6 linked regions of the Rattus norvegicus genome follow. The protein of the gene in region 3 interacts with the protein of the main gene of each other region in a pairwise test. Links are inferred from orthologs where the notes say so. Each region holds a gene or a part of one and is shown on either strand. Other genes may lie near its edges. The genes, in order: Arrdc1, Entrep1, Wwp2, Hnrnpul1, Pdlim7 and Ankrd44.

The links.
Region 1: the proteins of Wwp2 (region 3) and Arrdc1 interact in binary tests that used the Homo sapiens proteins (3 or more experiments, as listed by UniProt). The link is inferred for Rattus norvegicus from reciprocal best matches to the Homo sapiens genes WWP2 and ARRDC1.
Region 2: the proteins of Wwp2 (region 3) and Entrep1 interact in binary tests that used the Homo sapiens proteins (3 or more experiments, as listed by UniProt). The link is inferred for Rattus norvegicus from reciprocal best matches to the Homo sapiens genes WWP2 and ENTREP1.
Region 4: the proteins of Wwp2 (region 3) and Hnrnpul1 interact in binary tests that used the Homo sapiens proteins (3 or more experiments, as listed by UniProt). The link is inferred for Rattus norvegicus from reciprocal best matches to the Homo sapiens genes WWP2 and HNRNPUL1.
Region 5: the proteins of Wwp2 (region 3) and Pdlim7 interact in binary tests that used the Homo sapiens proteins (3 or more experiments, as listed by UniProt). The link is inferred for Rattus norvegicus from reciprocal best matches to the Homo sapiens genes WWP2 and PDLIM7.
Region 6: the proteins of Wwp2 (region 3) and Ankrd44 interact in binary tests that used the Homo sapiens proteins (3 or more experiments, as listed by UniProt). The two-hybrid records come from large-scale screens. The link is inferred for Rattus norvegicus from reciprocal best matches to the Homo sapiens genes WWP2 and ANKRD44.

Annotation. Positions count from the first base shown.
Region 1 is NC_086021.1:28,132,690-28,134,968, reverse strand, and holds the end of Arrdc1 (arrestin domain-containing protein 1), read left to right. Parts: intron 1-88; coding exon 89-243; intron 244-394; coding exon 395-577; intron 578-673; coding exon 674-850; coding exon of another isoform or gene 851-928; coding exon 929-1,367; intron 1,368-1,448; coding exon 1,449-1,519; 3' UTR 1,520-1,779; downstream 1,780-2,279. UniProt on the Homo sapiens protein: Functions as an adapter recruiting ubiquitin-protein ligases to their specific substrates. Through an ubiquitination-dependent mechanism plays for instance a role in the incorporation of SLC11A2 into extracellular vesicles.
Region 2 is NC_086019.1:231,027,811-231,031,310, forward strand, and holds part of Entrep1 (endosomal transmembrane epsin interactor 1), read right to left. Parts: intron 2,504-3,500; coding exon 2,396-2,503; intron 2,252-2,395; coding exon 2,118-2,251; intron 1-2,117. UniProt on the Homo sapiens protein: Functions as an activator of the E3 ubiquitin protein ligase ITCH in the ubiquitination of the CXCL12-activated CXCR4 receptor. Thereby, triggers CXCR4 endocytosis and desensitization, negatively regulating the CXCL12/CXCR4 signaling pathway.
Region 3 is NC_086037.1:52,273,563-52,277,062, reverse strand, and holds part of Wwp2 (NEDD4-like E3 ubiquitin-protein ligase WWP2), read right to left. Parts: intron 708-3,500; coding exon 560-707; intron 266-559; coding exon 144-265; intron 1-143. UniProt on the Homo sapiens protein: E3 ubiquitin-protein ligase which accepts ubiquitin from an E2 ubiquitin-conjugating enzyme in the form of a thioester and then directly transfers the ubiquitin to targeted substrates.
Region 4 is NC_086019.1:90,369,871-90,373,370, reverse strand, and holds part of Hnrnpul1 (heterogeneous nuclear ribonucleoprotein U-like protein 1), read left to right. Parts: intron 1-3,292; coding exon 3,293-3,500.
Region 5 is NC_086035.1:9,132,808-9,136,307, reverse strand, and holds part of Pdlim7 (PDZ and LIM domain protein 7), read right to left. Parts: intron 2,035-3,500; coding exon 1,883-2,034; intron 1,800-1,882; coding exon 1,769-1,799; intron 1,335-1,768; coding exon 1,216-1,334; intron 855-1,215; coding exon of another isoform or gene 834-854; intron 585-833; coding exon 448-584; intron 327-447; coding exon 290-326; intron 105-289; coding exon of another isoform or gene 8-104; exon of another isoform or gene 1-7. UniProt on the Homo sapiens protein: May function as a scaffold on which the coordinated assembly of proteins can occur. May play a role as an adapter that, via its PDZ domain, localizes LIM-binding proteins to actin filaments of both skeletal muscle and nonmuscle tissues.
Region 6 is NC_086027.1:63,919,141-63,923,221, reverse strand, and holds the start of Ankrd44 (serine/threonine-protein phosphatase 6 regulatory ankyrin repeat subunit B), read left to right. Parts: upstream 1-1,281; 5' UTR 1,282-1,463; coding exon 1,464-1,490; intron 1,491-4,081. UniProt on the Homo sapiens protein: Putative regulatory subunit of protein phosphatase 6 (PP6) that may be involved in the recognition of phosphoprotein substrates.

The sequences.
Region 1 (2,279 bases), on a different chromosome or scaffold from region 3:
GTGAGTGGAAAGCTTATGGGGACATGGAGCTTTGAAATGCCACTGGTGGGAGGTGCTGGGTGCCAGCCAATCCCTATTATCCCCACAGCCACAGCACCCACATCTTTCGAGGGCCCCTTTGGGAAGATTGTGCACCAGGTGAGGGCGTCCATCGACACTCCACGTTTTTCCAAGGATCACAAATGCAGCCTCGTGTTCTACATCCTGAGCCCCTTGAACCTGAACAGCATCCCAGATATCGAGGTAAGGACGGAACAGGGGCTTCCTTGGCTGCCTTCGGCCTTCTCAGGCCAGGCAGCCAGGCCCTGTCTTAATCTGGTTGCTGGTGTCTAGGGCAGTCTGAGGGTCTTGTCTGTGCTCGCTTGATAAACTCTTCCCTTCCTTTCCCTTCAAGCAACCCAATGTGGCCTCTACTACCAAGAAGTTCTCCTATAAGCTGGTGAAGACCGGCAGTGTGGTTCTCACAGCTAGCACGGACCTTCGTGGCTATGTGGTAGGACAGGTGCTGCGGCTGCAGGCTGACATTGAGAACCAGTCGGGCAAGGACACCAGCCCTGTGGTGGCCAGCTTGCTACAGGTCAGAGCCATCTGGTTCCCTGAGCCTGTCCCTTTCCCATGGGACAGAAGGGGTGGGTGCCAGCCTGCCCAAACTCACAGCCCAGTCTTTCCTCAGAAGGTGTCCTATAAGGCCAAGCGCTGGATCTATGATGTGCGGACCATTGCAGAGGTGGAGGGCACAGGTGTCAAGGCCTGGAGGCATGCTCAGTGGCAAGAACAGATCCTGGTGCCTGCCCTGCCCCAGTCAGCCCTGCCTGGCTGCAGCCTTATCCACATCGACTATTACCTTCAGGTTTGGTGTTGCCCAGGGCTGGGTGGCCTAAGGCTAGGTGGCCTTGGCCTTACTCTTCAATACCTACGTTTTTTTCAGGTCTCCATGAAAGCACCCGAGGCCACCGTGACTCTCCCACTATTTGTTGGCAATATTGCTGTGAACCAAACTCCACTGAGCCCCTGTCCAGGCCCAGGGTCTTCTCCTGGGCTGCTGTCCCCAGTGGTGCCCTCTGCACCTCCTCAGGAAGAGGCTGAGGCAGTGGCTAGTGGCCCTCACTTCTCAGACCCTGTCTCACTCTCCACCAAGAGCCATTCTCAGCAGCAGCCACTGTCTACTACATTGGGTTCTGTGTCTGTCACCACCATTGAGCCGTGTGTTCAGGTTGGAAGTCCTGCTAGACATTCTCTGCACCCTCCCTTGTGCATCTCTATAGGTGCCACTGTCCCCTACTTTGCAGAAGGCTCTGGGGGCCCAGTACCTACCACCAGCGCCTTGATCCTTCCTCCAGAGTACAGTTCATGGGGCTACCCCTATGGTGAGTGGAAATGACAGGGATTGGGGTGAAAAAATGAGGGTCCCCTGAACCCCTTCTATATCCTTTTTTTCCTCCCCACAGAGGCTCCACCATCCTATGAGCAGAGCTGTGGTGCTGGTGGTACAGATGTTGGCCTGATCCCAGGGAGCTGACCCTGGTATGCTAACCCATGCCACCTTGTTTGGTGGTTCTGGCCTTTGCCCTGGCATGGGATGCCCAGGGCCTCGTGCCTTTGCTCTCTACCTGGCCCAGCTACTCAGGACCTGCAGCTGTCGGGGGAAGACCCCCCTGTGGACCAGCCACTCTTGGCTCCTCTGGAATGAATTATTCAGTCCTCTTCTTGAGAGGTTGGGGTAGGGCGGCAGAGATCTGGGGCCTGGAGAGACTGTATAAATAAAGCGCTTTATTTGTAGAGCTGGGCAAGTGGCTGGCCTTCTCACCCTACAGTCTAGCCTTAAGGTGGCCCCATTGTACAAGCTCTGCCCTGAAGACTGAAACCCTGAAAGCTCCTCATTCGATCCCTACATTTGATAGAGCTCATCCCCTTACCACATCCTTGGGCTTTTCCCCTGGCCCACCCGATCCTACCTTGAACTCTACTTCCAGCCCATTCCTCACTTCATTGGTGCCCTGCCTCTGGACTCTTCTACAGTGCCAGGCATGCAACCTGGATAGTGCTGGACTGCCCACTTCTGTCCTCTTCCTTTTTAAAGAATGCCTAAGGATATTCCTGGCATTCTTTGGGACATACTGTGACTTGCATTCCAAACTATTGTTCCAGGAAGCCCCTTGGTAGAACCCTCTACTCTTGGGCATGGGGTCACTGTCAGCCCTGAGCACTGTGCCTTTCCTTATTTCTCGTTGTTGTACACACAAGATCTTGGGCCCCAGAATAAGAATAAAAGACAACAG
Region 2 (3,500 bases), on a different chromosome or scaffold from region 3:
AGAGGCAGAGGAGTGCTGAGTCCCTTGCCCAGGGCATCACTATCCCCAGCTCTCCTTGCCTGTCTGCTCTCTGACATTCCCAACCCATCAGCTCTCTTTGGAAGGCACTGGATTTCCAAGGATGAAAAGGTCAGGACAGTGAGCTCTCATCTCAGATGCTAAACTACCACAAAAACCTCTTCTAGAAGGAAACCCTGAAATTAAAGATGGCATTTTACACAACACGATCACAAAATGAATGATTCCTGTGGTGTCATTATGCCATTAGGATGTCCACTGATGCTGCATTTTGATGGACACCACCTTGGGTAAGCCCCTTGTTATCATGCATCACTTAGGCAAATAAGAGCTTATGGAGACCATGGTGGTTTGACTAGGAACGCCTGCCTGCTGTAGGCTTGTATGTCTGAATGCTTAGTTATCAGGAGTGGAACTACTTGGGAGGGATTAGGAGGTGTTACCTTGTTGGAGTGGGTGTGTCACTAGGGGTGGGCTTTAAGGTTTCAAGGCCCAGTAGCTCTCTCTCTTCCTGACACTTGGCAGATTCAGATGTAGAACTCTCAGCTACTTCTCCAGGGCCTGTCTACCTGTCACCATGTCTCCCACCACGATGACAGTGTACTGAACTATAAGCCAGCCTCGATTAAATGCTTTCCTTTATAAGAGTTGCCATGGTCATGGTGTCTCTTTGCATCAATAGAACTCTGACTAAGACAGAAATGAACAGGATTGTTATTTGTCTGCAAGTTATTTTCTCTGGGATCCTTTATGACTTGGCCCTGGTAATGGAGAAGTATCCGCTTGGGAGGTTTAAAGCCCAGAGACAGCCCACAGAGAGCATGTGCTTTACTAACAACCCTCTTCAGCATCCGCCACCCTCCTCTCAGCTTCTGAAAGGATCCGAATCACTCCATCCTTACCCCTGAGGCTCTACAATGTCAGCAGGCCCCTCCCCAAACAAAGAAAAGCCTTGCTGTCCCAAGATAATGTGTTCACCTGGCTGACACCCCCTCCCTTGGCTTTATAGCCATGTCTGCCTCTGCCCGGGTAGGTGTTACAGGAGGGGTCAGGTAAGATTCAAAAAAACATGAGCAAAGCCTACGTGGATCCTATTTCAAAAGCATGCATAGCTGTCCCGAACACCAGAAAGTATTTTTCCAAGAGCCCCACATCTGTACCACATCTGTCTGATGATTCTGCATGTACTACAGAAGTCCAAAACTACACATGCTCGATCCCAGATATCAAGCTAAAGATGCTAATCTTCCCTTAGACCCCAGAGATTTTTTCCTTTGGGGGTTTAACCTTTAAACTCAGCATAAAGTCACTTCTCTAAGGATGCCAAAGCTGACTGGGTGACCTAGTTGGCTCTTCTGGGCTTGGGAGACCTCTGGACATTGAGTACTATGGTCCTAACACTCATGTTGGCGGTCTACACTGAGCTCCTGATTGGAACAGAGGAAGCAGGACTAACTCACTTTGGATTTCTGTAACCCAGCACAGCACCAAGCAAGCAGAAGAAGATTGGTAATGTTTGCTGGAGGAATAAATGAGATCACTCTTTAAAGATTCAATTCTAGGTATTACTAACAACCGGATGAATACATACTCCACCCTACAAACAATAATTTCTGAAACTTAAGGAAAATAGTCAAAATTCGAGCTGGAATTTGAAAAGGAAAATTAAGTACGGTGCCCATTTTCCCCCCTAAGCCAGAAAGAATCAATTAGTAATTAATTTTGTCTTGGTGACTGCAAAGAATGTCTCGACTGTTGGGACCTGCTCATGGCGTTATAATGAAACACTGATTCTGCCTAACTGTGGGTGTTTCCAGGACAACAGAAACTCCCAATACTGTCAAATTACAGCTGTTATCTCACTGGGTGTCAGTTTTCCCCGAGGAAGCTAAAAGAAATTGAAAAGGTTTATCTCTAGGTCCGGGTTGGACTGATCTTTGGAGTCATCTGGTTGATCAGAGAGAAACAAGAAGACAGGGAAAGAGAGCTAACTGGATAGGACAATCTTCCCGGAATTTGGAGGAAAAAAAAAGTGGAGACCACACAAGTGTCAAGGCAGGGCATACCATGGAGACCCCAGTGAGACTTAGGAGTTTTACCTGCGGTTCATCCGAGGTGTGCAGGAGTAAAACGTGGCAAAGTAAGAAGGAGGAGGCACTGGCGGCACAAAGTCATCTGGGTCCGGAATCCGCCCGGGCTCTTCCACTTCCTCTGCAGAGATCTGGGATTCGTCCTGATTAAACAGCACAGCAGGAGGAAAGCAATAGATCACAAGGGAGGCACGGACAGCAAGGTGGAAACTCCGCACAGTGCTTCCACACACAGTAGGGATGGACTGCGAGGTCAAAACGCTTCACAAGTGTTTCCTCACACTTACAATGCACGGCCTTCTGCTGGCGAAGATCTGGAGGTAGCGCAGGGCAGCAGCCACCAAACACACCGTGGTGGTCAGGGCATTCAAGGCACACAGGGCAAACAGGACTTTCTGGAAACGAGACCACTGATCAGAGAGATGTGTAAAACACATCGATGGCAATGCTGTCCAAACTGGCAAGCTTCCGAGTGGATAAGGGCAGGGGGTTACATAGCGTCTGGCTTATGGACGTGCGGAAATACATGCTGGCTATTATAACCCCCAACCAGAATGTAGATTTCTTACTCTAAAACCTTTATAATTCCAGCTACTTTGAAGACTGAGGCGGGAGGATCATAAATTCAAACCTGGGATGGTAATACAGTCAAACTTCCTAAACAAAAACAAAAACAGCCTAGACTAGATGTCATGTGACACACCTATAACCCTAGCACCCTGAGGGCTGGAGGCGGGAGCACCTGAGTTCCATCAGAGCCAAACTCAGATTCAAAAAACACATACCCAGCCAGCTCCCTGCCTCACAGAGGAGAGGCCCAGTGTTACATACAGGGCAGTCAGACCTCCATATCCACGGGTTCACCTTCTCAGAGTCAACCAAGCCAAAATGGAAAACACTCAAAAGAAAAACCCAAGACTGCTGAGCACGGGCTGGTCCTTTTCCTATCATTTTTCTTTCTTAAATGATATTAACAACTACTTGCAAAGTGCATTGCACCAGGTACTGCATCTACATTGGCTCAACCATAGAGGAGTGTGTGAAGGTTTTGTGCAATCCTATGTCGTCATGTGGAAGGGGCTTGGGTGTGACAGAGTTCAGTATCCTCAGGGATGCTAGAGCCAATTTCCCAAGGACACAGAGGCACTTTCTTCTTACAACATCTGAACACTATCTATAGAGTTCCCTCCAGAAGACCAGTGAGACTCTTCTCTAGTCAGTGCCCCCTCAAGGGACAGCACTTCCCCGCACGATGGCATCTGCTTAACATATGGCCACTGCTTCTGTTTCGGGAGCCACAGGCAGTAGTGTGGAACCAGGAGCAACCAGGGAATAAATAGGTCTTCTTTCCTCAAAATAGCAGTTAAGTCAACACTGAAGGTTGCCATGGAC
Region 3 (3,500 bases):
AGTCCTGTATCCTACAGCCCTGGACCAAGCATGCTGAACTCTGCCTTCCTCAAGCTCCATAGATGGTCTCTAAGGGGCAGAGCAACACTCAACCTCTGGTCTGGTTGCCATATCTTCCCTGACTAGAGATGAATCATACATACTTTTGCCGCCATTGTTCTTCAGGACATTGGAGAGGTTGACAGAGGCAGTGCCCAGTAGTTCATTCCTCAAGGTATGACAGCTCCAGACCTTCAAATCTAAATGACTCTGGGCTGTAACATTCCTGGAAAACAAATAAGTGATTCATCACAGCCCCGAGATGAGCCAGGCGCCCTTTAACATGAACAGAATGCTAAAAGCTACCCTGCTGACATCTCACAGGGACAAAACAGGACACAGTCACACACACACCTCACACGCTGACCTGTAACCCTAGCTAACAATGAGAGCTCTGTGAGCTCGATGACACACACACACACCTAAAGAGGAGCACCATGGGGGCCAAGGGCAGTGGAGGGCACTGCCCCAGCCTCCTCTCCCCCACCTCCTGCATTCGAAAAGTGGCAGACACCCTTACAGAACGATGACTTCATTCCAGAGAAGCTCAGAGCTCCCGATGCGCTTCCCAGTCTTCTTGGTCTCACTGGGGAGTCCATCCACTGCCACCTCCACATAGGAGTTGATTCTGGGCTGGCGGTTGTGCACCTTGGGCTTTGCTGACACCACTGGATGAGACAGAAGGAAAGGGCAGATGACTTAAAGGACTCCCATATGCTGCTTGGGCAGATAGTCTGGCTCCTTTTGGTTATTTCCTTTCAAAAGATCTTTTTTGTTGCTGTTTTGCTTTGTCCTCTTTAAAAAAAAAAAAAAAAAAAAAAACCTTTTGAGAAATTACACTGTGAGAGCTCTGTCAGAACAATGTTCGCTGTAAACACTAGACAACCTCATTTTCATCCCCAGAGCCCACATAAAAGGCCAGTGCCTGAGTAATAACACCCAAGATAGACCACTGACCAAAGCATCATGTGCACACAAACACACATGTACAAAACCAATTTTTTAGAACAAGAAGAAAGGGTATAGACCAAACAAGAAACAAAAAGTACGAGTGTACAAAACACCCTGAACTATAAAGCAAGATCACTCCCACCCTAAAAGCACATGAGACAGAAAAGTGCTTTGCCCAATGGCCTGTACCCGTCTCCACAAATCAACTTTTAAACGATTATCACAAAGTCCACTGCATGGCTGTGTTAACTTTTACATTGTTGAGACAACTGCTTACAGTTCTTTGCTCTGGGACAGTTAGCACAAACATGGCTCCTAAGAGCAGCTGAGCCTCCTTTAAGGTTTGAGAGCTCCAGGGTCCTGGAAGCCCTCAGGGACTTCCTGCACTGCTTCTGAGTATCTTCATTTGGCCACACTGCAAAGTAGAGTGCTGTTTCCTCACTTTTTGCAAGCCATTAAAAAAAAATAGCCTAAAGATAATCACTAAGATTCAACCAACAGTTACCACAGACACTGCAAGGCATGCACCATATGCAGCCCCACAACTCATGAAGTGGAGATGTACTGTCTCCCTGACTGTACCCAGGAGGTCACTGAGGCTAGGATGGGGACATATACCTGCAATCCCAGCAGCTGAGGAAGAACACGAGTGCTGCAAGTTCAAAGATGGCCTGGTCTACATGAGGCGTTCCAGGCCAGACAGAGAAACTCTTAAAACTCAAAACAAAAAAGCCAGACAAAGTCACTCATGCCGGTAATCCCACTGACTCGAGAGGTCGAGACAGGAGGCTCACCTTAATTTCAAAAGTCCACCCTGGGCTACAGAGTGAGTTTTAGGTCTGCCTGGGACAGGAGTATGGGGTGTTGGGGGGGAGGAGTGAGGTTCACCTCTCCAGTTATATAAAGAGGGAGCTGTGAACCAGCATGTGTCCCCCAGCCTGACTCCATCCCAGCTGTATACTATTCCCAGGCTTATCCCCTCTGCTGCTTTTCTCCATGGAGCAGTAAGGCTGAACATACTCCACGGTGGTCAGCTACCTGTACTACTTGTTCCGTTTACAGCCCTCATGTGACTCTGTCTCTCTGTCTCTCTGTCTCTCTCTCTTCCTCTCTTTCCCTCGCTCCCTCTCTCCTTTCACTCTCCTTTTTGTTTAGTTTGGTTTCTTTCCTAGTTCTAAGCAGCAGCATCTTGCCGTGCAGCACAGGCTGACTTGAACCTACTACTCAGCCAAAACCGGCTTCTGTGTCCCTGGTACTGAGATTACAGGCAGATAGCACCATTCCTAGCATACAGCAGCACTTGTCATAGTCATGCATCACTAACTGGTAAGAACCCATGGAGCATAAGCCAACAAACATCACCTTCCATGGGATACCTATCCCATGACATTCATGACAAACAGTGGGACTTCCAGGGCTATTAGAGGGAACACATCTAGATACTGTCCACCCTGTGCCCAAATCAGAGGATAGAACTGATGTTTCTCATACACACCACCCCCGATAACAAGACTAACCACCCCATCTGGGAAGTTAGGCTCCTTCCCAGATCCTTTAGGGAGGTGGCAAGTCCTACAAAGGTCTACAACTTGACAAAGGACATCACCCGCTGGGTTCTTTGAAGCAGTAGTTACTCCAAAACCCAAATGCTACAGTAGGGAAGAAATCAAGAAACAAAAGAAAAAAATTGGGGGGCTAAGAGTCAAGCAACAGGGATGGGGCTGAGAATAAAGGTTTGTCACAGACATTAGACTTAAGTGGAAAATGTACCACTTTGCATGTACAGCAAGGCTAGCTGACGCCATCTAGTGATGAGATAGGAGCACTGCACACCTTACCTTAAACAGGACCATGTTTTAATCCGCCCTAAACAATTTCCTTAGAAATCAACAAGTCCCTGCCAGGCCTGGCAGCATACACCTTTAGTTTTGGAACGCAGGAGACAGAGCACTGTGGATTTCTGTGAGTTCAAAGTCAGTCTGGTCTACACAGTGAGTTTCTGGCTAGCTCAGCAGGACTACATAGTGAGACCCTGTCTCAAAAAAGGGGTCTGGAGAGATGGCTCAGTGGTTATGAGCACTTATCGCTCTTGTGGGAGACCTGAATCCAACACCCACAAAGCAGCTCACAAGCATCTGGAGTTCCAGTTTCAGGGACTGATGCTCTTCCAGTCTCCACAGGTACCATGCATGCATGTAGCAAACATATGTGTAATAAGCATACACATATGCAGGAACACACGCATACCTAAAAAATCTAGGGGAGAAATTGAAATTCCAAGTCTGTATTTCACAGCTGGGTCATCTAAGTTTCAGGGAGCTGAATTAGCTTCTCTGAAATCAGCGTCAGTAAACGGCAGGTCTGAGGCAGGAACCAGCACTCACTCCCCCCAGTCAATTCTCTCAGCGCTATCAGGACAGGCCTTTCATTTTGTTCTGATTTGGGTTTAGTTTGGGTGTCTGTACTCTAGCTTTTTCCCTGGTTTGGTTTGGTTTGGTTGGTTTGTTGGT
Region 4 (3,500 bases), on a different chromosome or scaffold from region 3:
TGTTTGCTGGTACAGAGAGAGTAATAGCAAAGGACATAGTCGCTATTTTTGCCACTTGCCGGGGTTACTCGGACGACTTTATGGCCCTGATGTGGACCCGCTTCCCCACAAGAATTCTCATGGACTATATATGTAATATTCCTACATTAACTTCTGGTTGTAATTGGGTGTGAGCATATGCATGTGTACATTAGTTCCTTTCCACTTTCTTTTTTTTAAGACGGGTTTCACTGCGGAGTCTAGGTTGGCCTCAAACTAAGAGATTCCCCTGCCTCCGTTTCCCAACTACTAGAATTAAAAGCATATGCCAACATACTGGCAGTCCACCTTACTTTTCTGAGACAGTCAGTCTCCCATTGAACCTAGAGCTCATCACTGGCAAAGCTAGCTGGTCAGCAAGCTCTAGAGGTCTTGCTGTCTCCTCCTTGGCTCCTATAGGTTACCAGGGCCTGCCATCGCACCTGCTGCCCACCTGGGGCCTGGCTCTGCAAACTTGGGTCCTCAAGCTTCGTAGATAGCACTTTACTTGCTAACTCATCAGCTCTGTATTTTCAAATGCTGATGACTAGCTAACCCTAGGATTTACTCTAAGAAGTTGAAGTTGACGGTATATTGGCTTTTATCCTGTGTCAGCTAGATCGTTTCCACTTTGTTTAAAGATTTCGAAGGAGTTTTTTTTGCTTTTAGCTTATTAAAAGTTTATTTTTTAAGATTTATTTGTCTTTTATGTATATAATGTATATAAGTCATCTCATGTGAATGAATATGTGGACTTAACGTCCCCTGGAGGCCAGAAGAGAATCACCTGGAACTGGAGTCACAAGAGTTTGTAAGGTGCTGTGTGGTTACTGGGAACTGAACCTGTGTTCTGCAAGAAAAGCAAGTCCTCATAACCACTGAGTCATCTTTCTGGGCCCAGATTTATTTTATTTCATGTTTATGTGTGGTGTTTGGCCTTCATGTGTGTACATCCTGTGCATACATGTAGTACCTATGGAGGCCAGAACAGGACGTTGGATCCTCTGGAACTGGAGTTTGCAGCTAACATGGAAGTAAAGGGAATTGAACGCAGGTCAGTGTAGGTCACCCAGGTCCTCTTTTCTTTCTTTTCCTCTTTTTCTTCTTCTTCTTGAGACAGGGTCTCCCTACATAGACCTGGGTAGCCTAGAGCTAATATGTACACCGGTATGCCTCGGATTCACAGAGATCTATCAGCCTCTGCCTTGATTTCAAACTCGCTTTGTAGCTGAAGATGACCTTGATTTCCTGATCCTCTCCCTCTCGAGTACTGGGGTTGCAGGTGTGAGCCACTATACCAGCAGGGAGCTCTGTTGAAAAGGTCACACACACTCGTGGTTGTGAACATGTGCTTTCCTGTGCATCCTTCTCTCCTTAACATTCATACTTAAACCTGTAGTCAAACTTGTTGAACAAAATCTAGCTCTGGTTTAAAGAAAGATTCCACATACGGTTCCTTTTTGTCAGAGCTTGTCATTACTTTAAAGCGGGTTCACAGCAGGGGTTTGAGGGGTATAAAGATCAGTATCTGGGGAAACAGAACATATTTGTAAGATCTCAAGTCCTCAACTGACGAAGAGAAAGGACCGAGTGGCAAGCAGGTGGTCCATGTCAACACTAAGAAGTAGAGTCACTGCAGCCTAGAGGACAGCAGAGAGGGCTGCCCAAAGTCCTGCCTCAGACAGATGGCTGTGTGGGTACACTGATTAGCAGTGGGTGCTGCTTTCTTTATATTGGGGTGGTTCTTCTAATAAAGCTGGTGCCCAGGGCAGGTGACCCCCAAAGTAGTCATTTCCATGCCAGAACAATGGTGCTACTTGTCCCCGTGTGGGAAGACAACAGCAGATACTGTACTATGTGCAGAAGTCTGCTGGAGTTATGTTGGCCTGTCTGCTGAGCATGGTCATTACCGTGATGTGTAAGGTGGCAACTGGCATGAAGGATGCTGATAGAAGACTGGGGAGCACCTCAGAAAAGGCACCTCAAGCACTCCTTGCATACATATACATATATATATTTTTTTCCCCTCATTCTATAACTTTGTGTCAGAAACTAGAACTTGTGCTCTGTTGAAGCTGCTGCCTCATCCTGAGTTTTGAAGCTTTGGCAGGCTCTGCTCCTGACTTGACAAGTCAGTGTTCTGCTTCATTGCCAGCAATGGTTCTAAACTTTAGCAGAACTTGGAGAGCCTTTTATACCCTAAGGTGAAGCCATGGCTCCTCCCCCATCATGCCAGCCCCAGCCCCAGCCCCAGCCCTCTACATTTTGGTTTTTTGAGACAGGTTTTCTTTGTGTAGCCCTGACTATCCTGGAACTATCTGTAGACCAGGCTGGCCTCAAACTCACAGAGATCCTCCTACCTCTGCCTCCCAAATGCTGAGATTACAGGTGTGCAACACTACCATCTGGCCATAGAGAAACAAGATCAATTAATTAGCTTTAGGTCATAAAATAGGATCCACTATAACTGGAGAAACTCAGTAAACAAATGAATGAGCCCTTGCGAGCATGTCCGAGATGCCTTTTGTGTGTCAAGGCACCTGACCTGTATTCTCTTATCTCAAGGTTTGTGTGTGCGCATGACTCATTTCCATTCATTGGTCAGGACCTAACTTACACATTCCCTCCAGGAAATGCAGGGGTATTTTTACTGAATTACAGTATTGAGATTCCTTGTTTGATTCTCCATTGACCATGAATCCCATGGGATCCACATAGACATGTACTGGGATGCACTCGTGTGAGCACTCTAGGAATGTGTGTAGAATAAACAAGGGGCGCACTTGTTCCCACCCTCTGGGAGCACTGCACTCAGCTATGGGAAGCTCCTGCTCTGGCTTCTCTATCTCGGTGTCTCCTCCCTGTCAGTTTGGGGACCAGGCGAGTCTGCCTGTGTCTTCATTGCGAGTCTGCCTGTGTCTTCATCTTTGTCTCAGCTTAAGCACAAGACTCAGATATGTGTCACCAGCTTTCAGATCTTGAGTAAGAAAGAATTTGGGTAAAATGTCTCTGAGCTTTTCCTGGTGCTGTCTAACTTGTGTGTATACCAAGAGAGAATGCCCTGGGTTCCAGAAAAAATGACCATTTTACTCCCTGAATTAAGTCTCACACGTGTGGCTCTTGTTGCCTTTGATTAAGGTTACAGTTAGTGTTTCTTAAGGTTTCATGTATCCTGACCTGGTCTGAAGTTTATGTTCCTCTGCCTCAGCCTTCCAGATACTGAGATGATGGGTGTCCACCATGACAGCAGCTCACCCTTGGCTTTCTCTCCTAGGACTTCGAATGTGGGAATGATGTGGAGCTTTCTTTTACCAAGAATGGCAAGTGGATGGGCATTGCCTTCCGAATCCAGAAAGAAGCTTTAGGGGGTCAGGCCCTCTACCCTCACGTCCTGGTGAAGAATTGTGCTGTGGAATTTAACTTTGGGCAGAGAGCAGAGCCCTACTGTTCTATTCTCCCAGGGTTCACATTCATCCAGCACC
Region 5 (3,500 bases), on a different chromosome or scaffold from region 3:
GGCCAGGCTAGGACTGCACGTTGAGCACGTGGGCAGAGCGCTGGTGGTGCCAGTCCCGGAGACGTGTATAGCGTGGGCTCTGTAGCTCCAGGACATACTTTTCCCTGAGGGGCAGAGAGAGAGAGAGAGGAGGAGGAAGTGAAAGGAAGGAGAGACGGAAGGGAGGAAGGAGGGAAGGAAATGAGGAAGGGACAGAAGAGAGCTCTGGCAGGGGATGGCCAGGAGTAGACAAGGACTGGTGGCCGGAAAGGAAGAATCGGGAGGTTAGGGAAAGCGCCCAAGCTTTTACCTTGACTTCTTCATGAATTCCTCATCCGGGTCTTGCACTGAGAGGACAGAGGCAGGCATTGACCAAGAGAAATGAAGGCTACCCCAGCCTTGAGTCCTGGCAAGGTCAGGCCCAGGCTAAGACCAGGAGAGTCCGCCCAGACCCAGGCCAGCACTTACTGAACTCTGTGCCCGTGAGGTGAGCAAGGATGCGGAAGGAACGGGACTGGCCTGTCCCTGGCCGCGGGCGCCAGTCTTCAGTATTCTCCATCAGCCGCTGCTTGCTGGCATCAGGGACCAGCTGTCTGAGCAGCTGTCTATGGAAGGGTAGAGCTCAGAACCCCTGGTTCTGTGGGCACCAGGGGCTGCCCCTCCCAGGATGTGATGTGCATGGGTTACGGTGACAGCTGAGAGGCGGGGTGGGGGTGGGGGAAGAAGGGGGGTAAGGCAAAGGGCTTGGCTGGGTGGGTGGGTAAATCAGAGTGGGCAGGAGGACAGGCAGGGCAGGGAGGCGCCACCACCCAGAGTGCCAAAAGGGAGAAAAGTGACAGGAAGAGGGGGCTCACTGACTTGTCAGGGGTCTGCACCTGCGAAGGAAATAGACAGATAGACAAATAAAGGGACAGACACAGGAGAAGAAAGACGGGTGGGGGGAAATCAGAGCAGTGGACAGGGAGGCAAGGTAGCAATGAGTGTGTGAGACTTGGCAGGTCCAACACCACACCCCAACCCCAGGCTGCCCAGGAGGGCAGAGCCTGTGGAAGAGCATCAGCCTTGGGCAGGGCTCTCTTCCTGAAGCCCCACCCAGCTGCCAGGGATTGCTGCCACACGGTTAAGGGGCTGGGGTCCGGCACAGACTGAGCAGTAGCGGGCAGCTTGTGTGTGCGCTTGCGAAAGGACTAGACCTGTGCACAAGAGGCAGGAGTGAGTGGGCAGGGGCTGACATACCCATTCTGCGACAGGGCGCTGTCAGTAGGTGGGGGTGCCCCGAAGGGCCGGGCCGTCTTGTTGAGGGAGGCGCTTGGTGCAAAAGTGTACCTCGGGGGGTCGGCGGGAGGGGTCAGGGCCTGGGCAGAGACAGAGCCGGGCAGGGTGGGTGGGAGTGGGGGCCAAGGTGGGAGCGGAGTTGTCACCACCACCAAGAACAGTGACAGGTCCGGCCCCACTCTTACACATCTGGCCAGAGGCTAAGATGAAGGGGTGACTGTGAATTCAAGGGGCCCATTTGGAAGTGATGAATTCAACCCACTCTGGGTCAGGGGGACCGAGGGCGGGTAGGCGCACACAGCACAGGCTTATGGGAAGAAGCAGGCAGACAGACAGGCAGGCACGTGAGGAGCCCGGACCGTGCGGCAGCTCCTAGCTCCACTCTCCCGTTCCCCAGACCCTGCCTGTTCTGGCATCTGCCCTCTGTTCTTAGCCAAGGCTGGGCCACGGAGAGCAGGCCAGCCCAATCCAAGTCCCTCCCTTTCTCAGCCAGGGTATCTCTGGTATAACCTACCTTCTGTGGTTTGCTCTGAGCAGGCTGGGCTCTGGAGAAGGAGAGAAAAGTGGTCATGGCCTGTAAGTGAGACCAGAGGCTGTGCTCACCCCTTGGGCCTATCAGCACCTGTACCTGCTAAGACCCAGGCTGAGGCGCTCCCCACAGGCACGGATCTTGTTCTGGGCTTCAATGTGTGTGAGGCTTCCGGCGTTCTCACCGTCGATACTCAGTACCCAGTCTCCCACGGCCACACCGGCCTGTGCGGCCTTGCCTCCAGGAGTGAGCTGTGGAAAGGAATGGTCAGAGGCCCAGGGGTGCACACCCAAGCTGCACAAGCTCCCTCACGGTCCAGACACTGCTGATAAACAGCCACCTTCAGGCTAGAGCCCATACCTGCAGGCTAGGACCACAGCCTTGACAGCTGTGTTTTCTGAGGTCTCTCTAGAGGCTGTTTGACCCACCAGATTGCCCTCCCCAGACAGCCACCTACCTGTGTTGCTGAAACTGGGCTATGAAGGCCTAACAGGGTTGATTGGGGTCACCTATATCCTGTGAAGTGTCCCATCTCCTATCTGGGAACTGCTACCGCTCCCCACCCCCACATCAAGGCCAACCCCTGATCCCCACCCCACACCCTTTCGCTCGCAGGGCTCCACATTCCTTTATTTTTATCTTAATTTTTTACTTTTGGTGACCAAGGCTCACTGCTTACCAGCAATCAGCCAGTTCTGGTGGCCGTCATTCCACCAGGCCTACTATGTTCCCCTATTTGCCACACGAACCAGAAATTCCCAACTCAAAGCCAAAAGGATTGGGGGCATGGTGGTTCTCCACAGGTCTGAAACCGCAGGGCCACTGGACCATCTGGTACCACGCAGAGCATTTACACTTAGCAGGTAGTAGGAGAAGCAGGGCGTAGGACGCCCAAGGGCCCAGGAGGCTCCTCGGGTGAGCTAATCAATGTGTACTGAAGCAGACAGACAGAAGACGAGAGGTTCTAGAGGTGCCAGGGACAGAGGGACCTCCCGCAGAGACTGCCAACTCTAGGACAGAAGGGGGAGCTGGACTCGACAGCTTTATTTTGTGCCTGAAGGGGAGGTTAGCAGAGGAGAGAGCTGGTGAGTCAGAGCCCTCTTTACCTGCTAGCACACGGTAAGAATAGCAACTCACAGAACACCTAGGACTGACGTAACATCTTCCAACACACTTGCAGGGGATCTAGGGATACACCCTGCTCACGCTCAGAAAAAAAAAAAACCAAAAACCAGACCTGCCAAACACCTGAACCCAGTCACCCAGCCAGCAAGAGGTGCAGCCAGGATTTGGTCCTGACTGGGAGGCTCCACTACAATAGGGCACAAGAGAGGGGTCAAGCGCACCCAATCACGATGCTGGGATAGCTAGCTGTGGTGGCATACACCCAGCACTGCGGAGGCAGAAGCAGAGGCAGGTGGATTTCTGTGAGTTGGAAGCCAGCCTGGTCTGCATAGTGAATTCCAGAACAGCCAAGACTACACAGAGAGACCCTGCCTCAAAAACTAATAAAACTAGTTAATTAAATCAAATTCGGGGGAAGAAAAAAAAAAAGACTCTGGGGTGCCAGGCAAGGTATACTTGTAATGCCAACACTGGCAGGCTAGGCAGAAGGACTGACAGCTCAAGGGTAGACAGTGTCCGAAAAGACACCCCCTCATTCCATGGCTAAGTTTGGGGTCTGCATGCACCCTCTCACCTTTATTTCACTGCGACC
Region 6 (4,081 bases), on a different chromosome or scaffold from region 3:
TATCTGAGTGTCCTTTGAGAGTAGGCACCTGTCTTACTTAGGGTTTCTATTGTGACAAAAACGTGACCAAAAAACAACTTGAGCAAGAGTTGTTTGTTTGTTTTTTCTGCCTCCACTTCCACAGCACAGTTCATCCCTAAAGGAAACCAGGGCAGGAACTCAAGGCAGGAACCTGGAAGCAGGCACTGAAGCACATGCCAGGGGGATGTGCTACTTACCCGCTTGGTGCTCATGGCCTGCTCAGCCTGCTCTATTACAGGGTGACACAGCTCACAGTGAGCTGAGCCCACCCACATTAATCCTTAATTAAGAAAATGCCCCCTCAGCTTGCCCACAGGTCAATCTGGTGGGAGCGTTTAAAAAAAAAAAAACAAAAAACAAAAAAACAACTAAGGTTCCCTCTTCTCATGACTGTAGCCTGTTTCAAGCAGCGGTAAAAGCTAACCAGCACAGTATCTTACCCGCTTATGCCCCATCTCTCCATGCCCAGCCACTGCCTGAATTTATAAGTGCTTTCCCAGATCACAGAAATATCAGCACTTACTATGGGTTGCTACCGCTGTATTAGAAGCCTGGTCTGTTAGACAGCTGTCTTCTGTGTGTGGAAGGTGCGAGTGGGCAGCATGCAATTTACAATCGTGTAGGAATAAACCAGCTAGGACTTATTTAGTGCGGTAATTTAGGACTTTTTTTTTTTTTTTCCTTCTCAGTTCCATCTCCAACCCCAAGCCTAGGCTACCAAGTTAGGATAGTGTGTGGTTTAACTAGGAGGTGGATCAAAGCCCTGGTTCCTTCCACTGCTATGTGGTGGAAGCCCTGGAGTCACGACGCGTCCAAGGCCTCCTTATATTAAACAAAGAGATTGTCAGCCCTGCGCCCAGGTGGCAGAAATTCGGAGCTCTGGAGCAATCTGATTTGGGAAGAGGTTTAGGGAAAGGGGGTGTGACGCAGTCTGCAAGGTGAAAGTTGGCGGCGTGTGAGTGGCAAGCTTTCTGGACCCCTGGGGTGTGTCTGCGAGGGCTTGCCGGTCAGTGGCGTGCGCGCGGGTGGGATTGCTGGGGAGAGTCGGCGTCAGCCCCCCCTCCCCTTTCGGCTGGCTCCTGGCGGAGCGGGGTGCAGGTGCGGGAGGGCGCCGGGGCCGCGGGCTGCGAGGAGCCGCCGCGGGCGGCAGGAGGCAGCGTCGGCCCGGGCGGCGCGAGGCAGCGCGCGGTGATGTCAGTGGCGGCCCGGCTGGCAGCGGCCGGCACTTCCTGTATAAAGGCGGGCGGGCCGGGCTGCGACTCCCGCGAGCCGGGGCTGGGCTCTGGGAGGCAGGCGGCAGCGGCCGAGCGGTGGCAGGGCTGTCACCTTCGCGAGCCCAGCTCCTGGCGCTTCCCCGGGCCGTCCCTTCCGTTTCTCCGGGCTCCCGGCGTTGACATCTACGAAGCGGAGAGCTGTATGTGCGCGCGCGCGGGAACGGAAGAATGGCAGTGCTCAAACTCTGCGATCAGGTAGGGGCGCGGGGCGCGGAGAAGGGGGCGCGGCGGGCGCCGAGCGAGCGGTGCGCGCCCCGGGCTGTTTACGCGCAGCCTTTGAGCGTGCACGGCCTGCCTCGGGGCTTGGCTCCCGCGCAGTCTCCGCCCTGGACCGTCGCAAGTGCGCGTTCGCGGCCGGAGAGGGTCGGCGGGGTGCGGGAGTGGCCGCCGGGCGCGGGTCGCCGCCGCACCGGGAAAGGGGAGACTCGGGCTGTGTCGTGCACTCAGGAGCAGTCAGCTTGGGGGTCCTCGGGGGAAGGCTCCCTGAGGTCAGGGGGAGGAAGGTGGACGGCGGGAGAGAGGATCGCAGCCCCTCTGCCCCGGACCTCTCCCGCGCCAGGCTAGAGGCTGGCCGATCCCCGCTCCGGTGCAAAAGCCTGCCTTCATCGGTTGGATAGAACACCCCGACTTCCTCTTTAGTTGCCCAGGGGCTGGGTGTGGGGTGTGGGATTGGGGGTGCTGAGAGACGCGCGTTCTCGGCCCAGGTCTCCGAGTAGGAGATGGGAGTCAGGTCCCGGACTGAGCTCGTAGACGCTGGTGCCCATGAGCTTTGTTGCTTTTCTGACTGAGACATCACACCGGGCAGCCTGGAGTTTGGCTTGAAGGAATGGGATTATGTATTGAATCTGATTGACAGTCTTTACCACATATCTAGATATTGACACTCACGGAAGTTCAACTTAATTGTGTGAAACAAAACCAAACCAAACCTCTTCACAGCTCTTTACAAGGGGGAAAGACGAAGCTTTATTCATGTCCCGATTTATTCATCCACACTGACATGAACATTGTTTTGGGGGCCTGATAAGCAGCGTGGCGATCTTGACTTTGATATATGGTATCAAACAGTCCAGCCCCCTCTATCAAACACCTCAAACTTCTTAATAGGATGCATCTGGTGTCTTGCTAGTTAGAATTCAGCCAGAATGTTTTGCAACTTAAGTGCAACCTTTGCAATAGTGAGCCACAATGGTTTGTTTTGCCCCTTTAGATTAAATTTAGTTCAGCTTGCTTTTACCTTAAGTATTCACAGCCCCCCTTTCTTCCCTTCCCTGCCTTGGTTCAGAAATCACTGAGTTTAAAACTCTGTTAAATTTAGCAGGGAGAGCAGCTGTTAATTGTGTGACCCTGCCCCTCCTCGTTGGCCACTGAGCATTTAAAATGCTTGTAAATTGATATTAGGATTTTCTCTACCCTTTGTTCCCAATTTTTGCCAACTGTTAGACATCTGCTTATTTTAAGTCTTACGTTGTCTTGTGTCCAGAGTCCTGTCAACGTTGATGGTACACATTTCTCTACTTTGTTAATTCCTAAGTCTGCAGAGTACAGTGTGGTTCTAGTAGGCATTGCTATGTTATTACATATGAAAGAATTCTGTGTAGAATTTTACTTAGAAAGATGCTAATCATTTACCCTGAATTCCTTATTTTCTAAGTAAAAAAAATCAGCTGACTGGGAAAATCAAGCAAATCTTCCTCAAGATCCTCAGTGTTGACTGGTGGTGTCCACCTCCCAGGCCGCTATCGGAGCCTTGAGATATGTCTCTCCTTCCTTTCAGCAGATGTGTTAAAGTAGGGTATGAGAAGGAGCTTTCTCCTCAGGTACATCAGCCTGGGTGAGGAGTGTACCACTGGGCTCTGCAGCCCAGGAAATTATTCTCTGGCTTCTCAGAGCAAGGCTTTTTCAAAGATGTTTGTCGTTGGGAATCTTTCTAAGTTACACCCACTTTGTTCCCCCAGTAAACTCCACTTGCCCCTGGGGAGAAAGGGGTTAAAACCTTCATTTGACTCCATCTCCTGACATATAGAAAGAGCCAAGGAGTTCTGTGATCCAGGAACACCCAAAAACCACCAGTCTATCCTGGGACAAAGCCAGAGGAAGATGGGGTGTGGTGGTGGTAGGGCGGGGTGAGGTGCAGTGGTGAGCAGAGATGGTTTCTGTGTTTCTTTAGGCCCAGGAAGTGTACTCTTCTTGCCTTATATAGTCTTACTTTGTGTTTGAATCTTACTTCTTAGAAGTTGGCTCTTAACCTCAGGTACTCATGCTAACAACCTGTGGATTAAACTCCTCCTAGAAGAGCTTTGTCCCATCACTGTGGGCGGGGAGCCACCTGCATGGAATTGCCTGCTTCAGTCTGAGCTGGGGCCACCTGCTCCTTCCTCAGGGATGCTGTGGCCATCCCGGCCTCACTCTTCTGGTCCCTTCAATGTCCATTTTGTAAGGCGAATCTCCACTTTTGGCTACAGCTCTTTGATTTTTGGTTTGAGGACACATTCCGGCTGCTGATAACTTGGATGTAGTCGAAGCGAGAGGTTATCATCAATGACTTTTTCTGTCCCCTGACACTGAAGGCTGGAACTGGCTGGGTGGCTGTGGTTATATCACTTTGGCAGCCAGTTCAACAGTGACCTCTGGGTCCAGCAAGAGAAGGGTTACGATTTTTTTTTTCTAACTTGTTTTGGGAGAATTAAAAAGTTAAGGGGGAAGGGAGAGGCTGCTGTGGTTTTCAGTCTTCTACTGTGAAAAGGAACTGGGAGCTTGTGCTGCGAACAAGCTTGACACTTAGC